Oryzias latipes: one gene and its partner. The protein of the gene in region 2 purifies or fractionates together with the protein of the main gene of each other region. This does not show direct contact. Links are inferred from orthologs where the notes say so. Each region holds a gene or a part of one and is shown on either strand. Other genes may lie near its edges. The genes, in order: dhx9 and ewsr1.

Region 1 (4,243 bases), on a different chromosome or scaffold from region 2:
ATCCACCTCAACAGGGTTGAAGGCACAATGGGGCGGGAGAAAGTAAACTATTCCTATTTGAGGGGTGATTCGTTTGTTTCATATTTATTAAAAGAATTGGTTTCTGCCGGTATTAGTCTTTTGTCATTTAGTTTTAAGAAAAATTTCAAAATGCTAAAAAATACAAGCTTTCTGATACTTAAAACACAAGAGAAAAGGTTTTCTATTTGTTAAGGAAAGCACCAATTTCTATTTACTGGCTCTGCTAAAATAAGCGTAAAGAATCTCAGCACAGAACCGTCTCTGTGGTCTCATGTACAGACATGTCAAAACTTACTTCTGCCGAGCTTCCTCACGAACAGCTGCATCTCTGCTATGAAGCTCCTGCAGACAAATAACATGGCAGAGTTACATCCCGTGCCTTTCAAAGTAAAAGCCTAAAGCCAAGCATCCCTCAGGAGCAGACTCACCTGATGTGTCCTCAGAAAGAAACCTGGGCGTTTTTCTGCCAGACTTTCAGGTTTTAAAGCCTACAATGAAGAGCAACACCACAAATCACGACCAGAGACCACGGAGCTGCACCCATGGGGGGGCTTTAGAGAACCTAAACGCCATCCCCATGTATTTCCTCAGCGTGGTCGTGAGTTCTAGTGTCGCTCTGCAGGCTTTGAGTTGAGCATGTGGCTGTGAGGGCTCTCCGGTGTAGCCGGCACACGCAGGAGCTCTCTGGGTTTGCAGCAGTCCGGCAGAAAAACACACAGGTGCTACCAGTGAGCGGCGGGCCCAGGAGTGTGGCCCCTTTCAGAGGAAACATTTACCAACCCGAGAAGCTGCAGCTTTTTAATTAGAGTTCATTTGTCAATACCCCACTCTCCCACCCCCACCTGACAGATCTGAACAGCAGAAAAGACCAGATCCAGACTGACGAGAGACCTGGGCTCGTCAGGCTGGATCTGGTCAGACGGCTTGTAGGGGAGCGCTGATCCAGACCTGTTGTGATCGGGTCCCACTTGGCTGTACGTGTACTCGGAGGTGATCTTCTCCTGCTGGAAGAACCGGTTGAGACGGGCCTTGGCGTTCTCCAGGGTCCAGTTTCCGTGCAAGTTTGCATTCAGGTCTACCTCCTCGGATTCCAGCGTCTACAACAGGAGAGCCGCATTAGTGGGACCGGTACTAAGGCAGAGCAGTCCCACCTGTTATGAAGCCGCCTAATGTTGTCACAGTCATGTGACTGCAACATGTGACAACACAGCTCAAAAGGACCGGGATCTTCTTGAAAAGCAGCTTCATGGCACATAGCTGGCTCCAGTACCGCTTGAGCCTCCTGCTCATCCCTCCGGGCGTAGTACTCCTTCAGGTTGGCTCCTCTGTCCCACTCAGCCCCTCCTCCTCCTCCCCCATTGCCACCTCTAGGAGGGAACCCTTGTTCAGTCTGTCCTGGAGGTGCATTGATGAAGGCATCAGCCTCTGAAAACAGAAACCACAGGATGAAGAGGACTGAAGTCAGGGAGCAGCAGGTTAGGTGTGTTCGGCTCAAACCTTTCTCCACCTTCACCACCAGGTGGGGGGGCAGCGGCCCGCTGGCTGGGAGGGTTCCGAAGCTTCCCGGAGGTCCTTCGGGCTGGTTGGGTTCTGGAGCCACGGCCTGGGTAGAACAACAAAAGGCCGTCAGTTCCGGTTAAGTGTTCGCTGCCCACTGGTAAACTTTTGACTAATCCTTGCAGTCTCCCAGTCTTTATGGATCTTGACTTTCTAAATGGTTTTCTGTTCTGGCCTGAACATAGCTGGATGCTCTATTGATTGGAAAGATGTTCCTCTGGTTTGCTTTGTTTTTACATCTCCTTTAAAAAAGCGTAAAAAAAAGCTTTCTGACCCCCAGAGCTGGAACCTCTTCAGCCTTCATCTCCCCGACTCGGACCAGATAGTTGACAAAGTCCCTGGCGGCGTTGGTCTGAGCATCCTTCTTGCTGGTGGAGTTTCCCATCCCCACATAGGTGAAGCCATCCACCCGCACCTTCAGGAGCAAACAGAGACGTTACGGGAGAGTCTGGTTACAAACCAGCTGGCTGTGAATGCAGACCGACCTCACACATGAACTTCTGCCGGTTTTTGTTGCCCGCCGCCCGGATTTCGTAGTTGGGAGTCAGCTTTTTCTTTCCACACCAGGCGTACAGGAAATTCTTGATGTCCGCCATAGTGGCGAGCTTCCAGCTCCGCGTGGGCTTTACCTGCGAGCTTCAGGTGTGCCCTGGTCCCTTAGTGTTGCCTGTAAAACACAGAGGTGGCTCTGAACAACCGCAGAATCACTGGCAGGCGTCACATCAAAACATACAGTGTTGTTCAGGAAGCTACAGTAAACCGCTGCCTGCGTGCGTGTCGTAAAAGAAACCCTAAACAGAAAAACATATGTGCGCCGACACACACACAGGGAGAAACGATAACAACACTAACGTTACTAAGTCACGGGGGAAATGTTTGACCGTTTTTATACTTCAGCTAGCCACGTGCAGCTCCTATCATCAAGCAATAATGTGATCCTCCATGCAATATTTTTCCCCAATTGATCCCACATTGAATCATCAGTTGCAACTGAGACAACTACAACGAAAATGCTAGTATGCTAACGTTAGCTTCATTCATCAACCGGTGTAAACGTTGACAGACGCATTGAGGCTAAACTAACTAACGCCAGTAAGACACGAAGTACGTATGCAAAATAAATATTAAAAAAGCAAACATTTTCATTCTAACATCAACGACTACATTCAACACCTACCGTCCGCTCAGTCAAGTCTGCAGTGCAGATTCCTGCAAAGCGGCAACAGCGGAAGCTTTGAACTCTTCTACCGCGCAACAGCGCCACCCTCTGTTCTGGAGGTGAAATGAACTGTTAGCTCCTGGCAGTGAGTTGATCCTTTTTTATCAACGCCCCTCTGCATGATGATTTTTTTTATTCTACTGGGATGAGAACTAGATTTCTGTCTTTTGTCACTCTAGTTGGTTTCCTTTACTCAAATTACATTGTGGTTAACATCAACCCATTGTCCACAAGGATTATAAGTGGCCACTGTGTCATAAACATTCATAAAATCAGTGTAAGTTTTTGTTGTTGTTGCTGTAATCAAATTTAAATTATTAAAATTATTCCAACCCTGCGAGAGACTGGCGACCTGTCCAGGGTGCCCCCTGCCTTCGCCCACAAGTGGCCGAGATAGGTTCTGGCAGCCCCGTGACCCCGAAAGGGAGCAAACGGAAGAAGATGAATGAATGAATGAATGAATGAATGAATGAATGAATTAACGAATGAATGAATGAATAAATGAATGAATGAATGAACGAACGAATGAATGAATGAACAAATGAATGAACGAACGAATGAATGAATGAATGAATGAATGAATGAAAGAACGAATGAATGAATGAACAAATGAATGAACGAATGAATGAATGAACGAACGAATGAATGAATGAACAAATGAATGAACGAACGAATGAATGAATGAATAAATGAATAAATGAAAATTTTTCACAATTTCTCCTTCATGAATTCAATTCAGCATTTATGTAAGTTCCATAAACAATCAGAAGTTCAAATTTCGAGTAACAACTATGGAAATATTAATCTTGCTTCTGTGTGATTCATATTTGGAGCACGAAATATGGACTCCAAATGTAAATTATATTTTAAATCAAGTCAACAAAAACCTTTTATTTTGTTACGTGGGATGTTCCATTGTTTTTCTCACGAATAAATTTTGTTTTAACAAATCAGTTTATTTTTATAAAACAAAAATCTTCAAATGACCAAATCCTTGTCTAATTTCTAAACTTCTCATCTGATTTTAATTTAAGAAAAAACCAGATCTCTCTTATAAAATGACATAGCTGTAACATGACCTGCATTGTAAGGTTTATTAGCTTAAAACCATAGATTTTTATTTCATTTTTATTTTTTCAGTGTCAACCGAAGATTTAATCTACAGAATCTACAGAAAATCTGTCCTGTTTATAGTCCTGATAAAACCAATAGTATGAAATAGAATTGCACATTTTTGCTGCTCTTTGTTTACTGCTGTAGACAGGAACCTCACAGGAGAGAAAACCACGCTTTCTCTATCCATATCCAGTTTTTTGAGGTGGTCAGTCGCTGAGCAGAGTAGCCATAAACGCCTGTAGAGGCTCTGGCAGAAACCTGCTGTAGTCACAGAGACGGTGAAACCAGTGTGTCTTGTTCTAAAGCCCCATCTTACATATTCTGTCTTTT
Region 2 (4,382 bases):
AATCGAGATAGCAACATATCCAACAAGCAGGATACAGCTCTCTGAAACTGAGATTCAACACCCCGGTACTCAAACAAAAGTCAATTTCAGTAACAGCGTACAAATAACTCAATGCTGCATTGTATCTACAAGAAAGTTAATTGCAAATGTCTGAAATGACTTGTCTCAGCCCTGCCTCAAATGGTTACAGCACCTGCAGAGGCAAAACAATGGAAGACACTAAGGAAGCACACTTACCCCATTCCACGCCCCATGCCTCCGCGACCACGATGCATCATGCCACCACGGTCAAAGCCGTCCCTGCCAGGACCTCTGCTGTCCCCTGGGCCTGAGTACCTTCCGGGCTCAGAGCCAGGATAACCAGAACTTCCACCCTGACCATCCTGCCTGTAGCTACCTATGAAGGAACAACACAAACATCAGATCACACCATGTAGGGTGAGCACAGAGCCAAACCAAATTGTTCTTTAGCTCCATTTTATATATGGAGTTAAAGCACAACATAAAACGTACTGTAATGGCTGGACTGGTTGTAACTAGGTGGTCCACCTTGTGTGTTGTACTGACTGGCTGGAGGCTGACCATAAGAACCAGCAGTTTGAGGAGGGTAGGCAGGTGGAGCTTGTTGTTGAGTTGTCTGCTGCTGGTAACCCTGCTGCTGGTTGTAACCTGCTTGTTGACCCTGGTAACCAGCCTGCTGTTGTCCATATGACGCAGGTTGTGAGTAGCTGCTCTGGCTGTAACTAGCTGGTTGATTGCTAGCATTGTAACTATAGAGACAAAATAAATAAGGGGTCTGTTTTGATCATGATCACAGAGACATTACATCATCCTTATGAGTCGTGTATTATAACTTCAAGTCAACTGAAGAATTTACATGGTGTGATTATTTTTTCTTCCTAAGGAGGCACATTTACCTCTGCGGTGCAGCTGGAGCTGCCTGTTGACCATAACCAGTGTAGGCGGACTGGGCGGTGTAGCCTGGCTGGGAGCCATACGACTGGGATGCGGCTGGAGCGGTAGCTGCAGCTGGAGTACTATCATACCCGCTGGCTCCATAGCCTTGAGTTGACTGCGAATAGCCATGAGCTGTAGACTGAGCAGCGGGATAGCCTGCAGCTGGGGAGAAATAAGTTTCATGCTAAATGCAGGCACCAGTTTGAAGCAAACTTTAAAAGCAGAAGCAAATATCATGTATTCATTTAGACTGTTATCAATCCATCAGTCTTAATAAATCCAAATGGGATCACTGATGAGAAAAACCTACCTGATGCTTGTTGTCCATAGGAGGAGCTATACTGCTGTTGCTGCTGAGGGTATCCTGCAGCTGCAGGGGTCGCCTGGGTGTAGCTGCTGTCTGCAGCAGCTGCAGCAGGCTGGGTGTATGATCCATAATTCTGTTGACCATAACTTTGCTGTTAGAACAGAGCCTACTTTAGCTGCTAGGCAAGCACATGCAACCAGGAACTACCTACATTTATAAATATAAATTATATGAATATCACATAAAATAAATTAAACTTAATTAAAGTCTTTGCGTTTGATATGCATTCATTTAAAAAAGAGATGTTGGATTTTGGCCACAGGATAATTTCAATATGCCGTCTCCTGGGAGGTAAATGTTACTGAAGAAACAAAAACTGATTTTAAGAAGAACCTACACGTTGAAAATTGAATATAAAACAGAGGTAAAAGAAAACACAAAATATAAACAGTATAAATCTTAACTTTATATATTTTTCTAAATCAATGTCTAGTCATAAAATGTTCTGGTTACTGTCATTTGTGATTAAAAATTGGAGGGACTAAACCACGAAGGACCTTAGAAAAACCGATTTGAAAGATTCAAAACCTAGAATTTTATATTTGTTAAGAATGTGACTGATGATGGCAGGAACGGTGATTCTTGTCCAGCAGTTTTATTGCTCTTTTATAGCAAGATTCAACGGGTTTAAGAACAGAGGAGCCAGCATATGACCAAATAGTGATACAGTAGTTTTCACACATCATCAAACTGCTGTTTTACAAATCTCACCTGTGCTGTTTGTCCATAACTCTGTGATGGCTGGGTGCCATAAGAGGCATACCTGCAAAAGAAATATCCAAAAAAGACTTCCAAAGCTGTTCTGTAATTTGACATGGGTATCAACCAATTTAACTTTATTTCCTGGCTGTTGTTGACTGAAGAGCTTCTAATTTAATAATTCTTTTTAATTTTTATTGGTATAAAACAAAGTAATGCTTACCCTGGTTGAGCACTGGCCTGACTGTAGGAACTGTAATCTGCTTATAAACAAAAGATAAAAAAAATACTTTAAATTAAAATGCGACGAAACATCGACGTTTCGTTTGCGCGCCATTAAGCTAGCACGTTACGGGCCAATTGAGTCACAATTCAATGCTAATGCTATGCCTGTTAGCTAAAGATAAGGACACACTACATGAACAATGTTCAATGAATGATTGAGTTCTTTAAGCATGAGGATGTACGATAAATATAAAAATTATCAAAAAACAAGGTTACAGACTGAAAACGGCAAAAATGGTTGAAGCTCACGAAACAACAAGGCCTACCACAAAGCCGCTTGCACCGTCCACGCCACGGCACATTTTTAAACAATCCACATAAACGCTAAATACTACAAAATACCCACATGCAAAACCATTAAATAACAAATACAGATTAATTCCAAAGAATAATAAATGTAAATATCGTGACTTTGGTAAAAATTTTGCGTTTACCGGGAGCTGACGCCATTTTAGCTTGCCTGTGAAAGACCGAATGGACGCTGCACTCTGGGTAAAAAGAAAAAAACGTTTGTCTCCCATTTGAAAACCAGTGTATTCTCGCGAGACTTGAAGACGACCCATAATTTTAATAGAATTTTAAATAAAGTTTAATACTCACGTCATTATTGGCAATTGCTTTTTAATTCATAGCATCTGTAATCTTTTTGTAATACATGTACCATCCCCTGACATTGTTGTTGTTATGACTATTGTTCCTGTCATACATACTTGTTCTATTTGTGTTGAATAATAAAGTTTATTAAAAAAAAAGTATTGTAATGAAAGTTGAGTTCAGCTGTTAAGCGGTCTGTACTTTTTTGCATCAAACAGGCTTGCTATGCCTTTAATTAATAGTCTACTCTATAGTTTTAAAATTAGGCAGATCATCTGTCAGACCACACAGTTTAAGCACTATAAATCTTATTTATTTATCCATTACAACATCAGAATTTATTCATATCATTATATGGAAAATATTATTATTAAATATTTTTTTTAAAAACTCCACACGTGAGCCAGTTTACCACAGTGGGATCTTCATATTTTGTTTCTTTTATTTTAAATACAATTTCATGTCTTCTCAAAAAACACTACTATGTGACAAAACTTTGTTGTTGTTGTTGTTATATAACAAACAATCACGGCATGTTTGTCAATGACAACAATATCAATGCTGAGATAAAGGTAGACAAAAAACAAATATGAAAACAAATGTAACTTAAAAAATAATAATAAATAAAAATAAGGGGCTTTTGCAAAAGTTTAAATAAATCAATGAATTATACAATGTCAATTCTATGATTCATGTAATGTAAAGATTTAAAGAATAATTTGAGACGGTTTAGTAATCCATTAATGTGAGGTTTCACCTTTAAGGATTTACAAGTATGTATAATATGCTTCGAAATTACAACCAGTATATAAATCAGAAAGTCCAGATTTTAAAGGGTTAATGATGATATTTATTGATTTGAGCCAAATATGAAAAAAAGAAGACCAAAACTCTTTTACATGCAAACATTCAAAGAAAAAATGTTCCACCGTTTCTACATCCTTTCCACAAAAGACACAAAGATCACCATCCCAGTTAAAGCGAGAATGTAAAAAAATGATTGGAAGAGTATATATCATTTAATATTTTAAAGTTCACATCTTTTGTTTTGTGAGGGATAGGATATGATAGATATAATGTTCATATCCTTTTAGCTTCTGTGGTGCTGTAATTCTTCAAAATATATTTTCTTTTAAACGTGAAGGGTAATATGAATTATTTAAAATCTCTCGAAAAAATTTGTTTGTTAATTTTTTGTCTCCCAATCATAGGCCTTCCACATAGAGTTGCAGCATTATTTGTTGAGCTATAGTTTTAGTGGGGACTGGAATAAAAACTAATAAAAGATGTGTGCACATCCTGCTTGAGCATTGCATCCGGTAGGTGGCGGTAAAGGGAATTTCTAACATTGTAACCAACAAAATCTAAAAAAGTAGAAGAAGATTTGCGGAAGTTGAAATTACCACAATTTTATTTTCAGTTTACCTTTTAAAAAAGGGAAACAATATATGGATTAACTGCTCAGGGATGTTTAGTTTGT

The links.
Region 1: the proteins of ewsr1 (region 2) and dhx9 purify together in Homo sapiens (affinity purification with mass spectrometry; 3 studies listed by BioGRID, with this or other methods). This does not show direct contact. The link is inferred for Oryzias latipes from reciprocal best matches to the Homo sapiens genes EWSR1 and DHX9.

What each region holds. Positions count from the first base shown.
Region 1 is NC_019875.2:12,671,779-12,676,021, forward strand, and holds the start of dhx9 (ATP-dependent RNA helicase A), read right to left. Parts: upstream 2,854-4,243; 5' UTR 2,756-2,853; intron 2,246-2,755; 5' UTR 2,175-2,245; coding exon 2,064-2,174; intron 1,994-2,063; coding exon 1,853-1,993; intron 1,625-1,852; coding exon 1,519-1,624; intron 1,447-1,518; coding exon 1,292-1,446; intron 1,119-1,291; coding exon 970-1,118; intron 510-969; exon of another isoform or gene 450-509; intron 364-449; coding exon 317-363; intron 1-316. UniProt on the Homo sapiens protein: Multifunctional ATP-dependent nucleic acid helicase that unwinds DNA and RNA in a 3' to 5' direction and that plays important roles in many processes, such as DNA replication, transcriptional activation, post-transcriptional RNA regulation, mRNA translation and RNA-mediated gene silencing.
Region 2 is NC_019867.2:12,693,735-12,698,116, forward strand, and holds the start of ewsr1 (RNA-binding protein EWS), read right to left. Parts: upstream 2,809-4,382; 5' UTR 2,759-2,808; coding exon 2,743-2,758; intron 2,287-2,742; coding exon 2,247-2,286; intron 2,088-2,246; coding exon 2,036-2,087; intron 1,398-2,035; coding exon 1,268-1,397; intron 1,120-1,267; coding exon 918-1,119; intron 771-917; coding exon 514-770; intron 398-513; coding exon 238-397; intron 1-237. UniProt on the Homo sapiens protein: Binds to ssRNA containing the consensus sequence 5'-AGGUAA-3'. Might normally function as a transcriptional repressor. EWS-fusion-proteins (EFPS) may play a role in the tumorigenic process.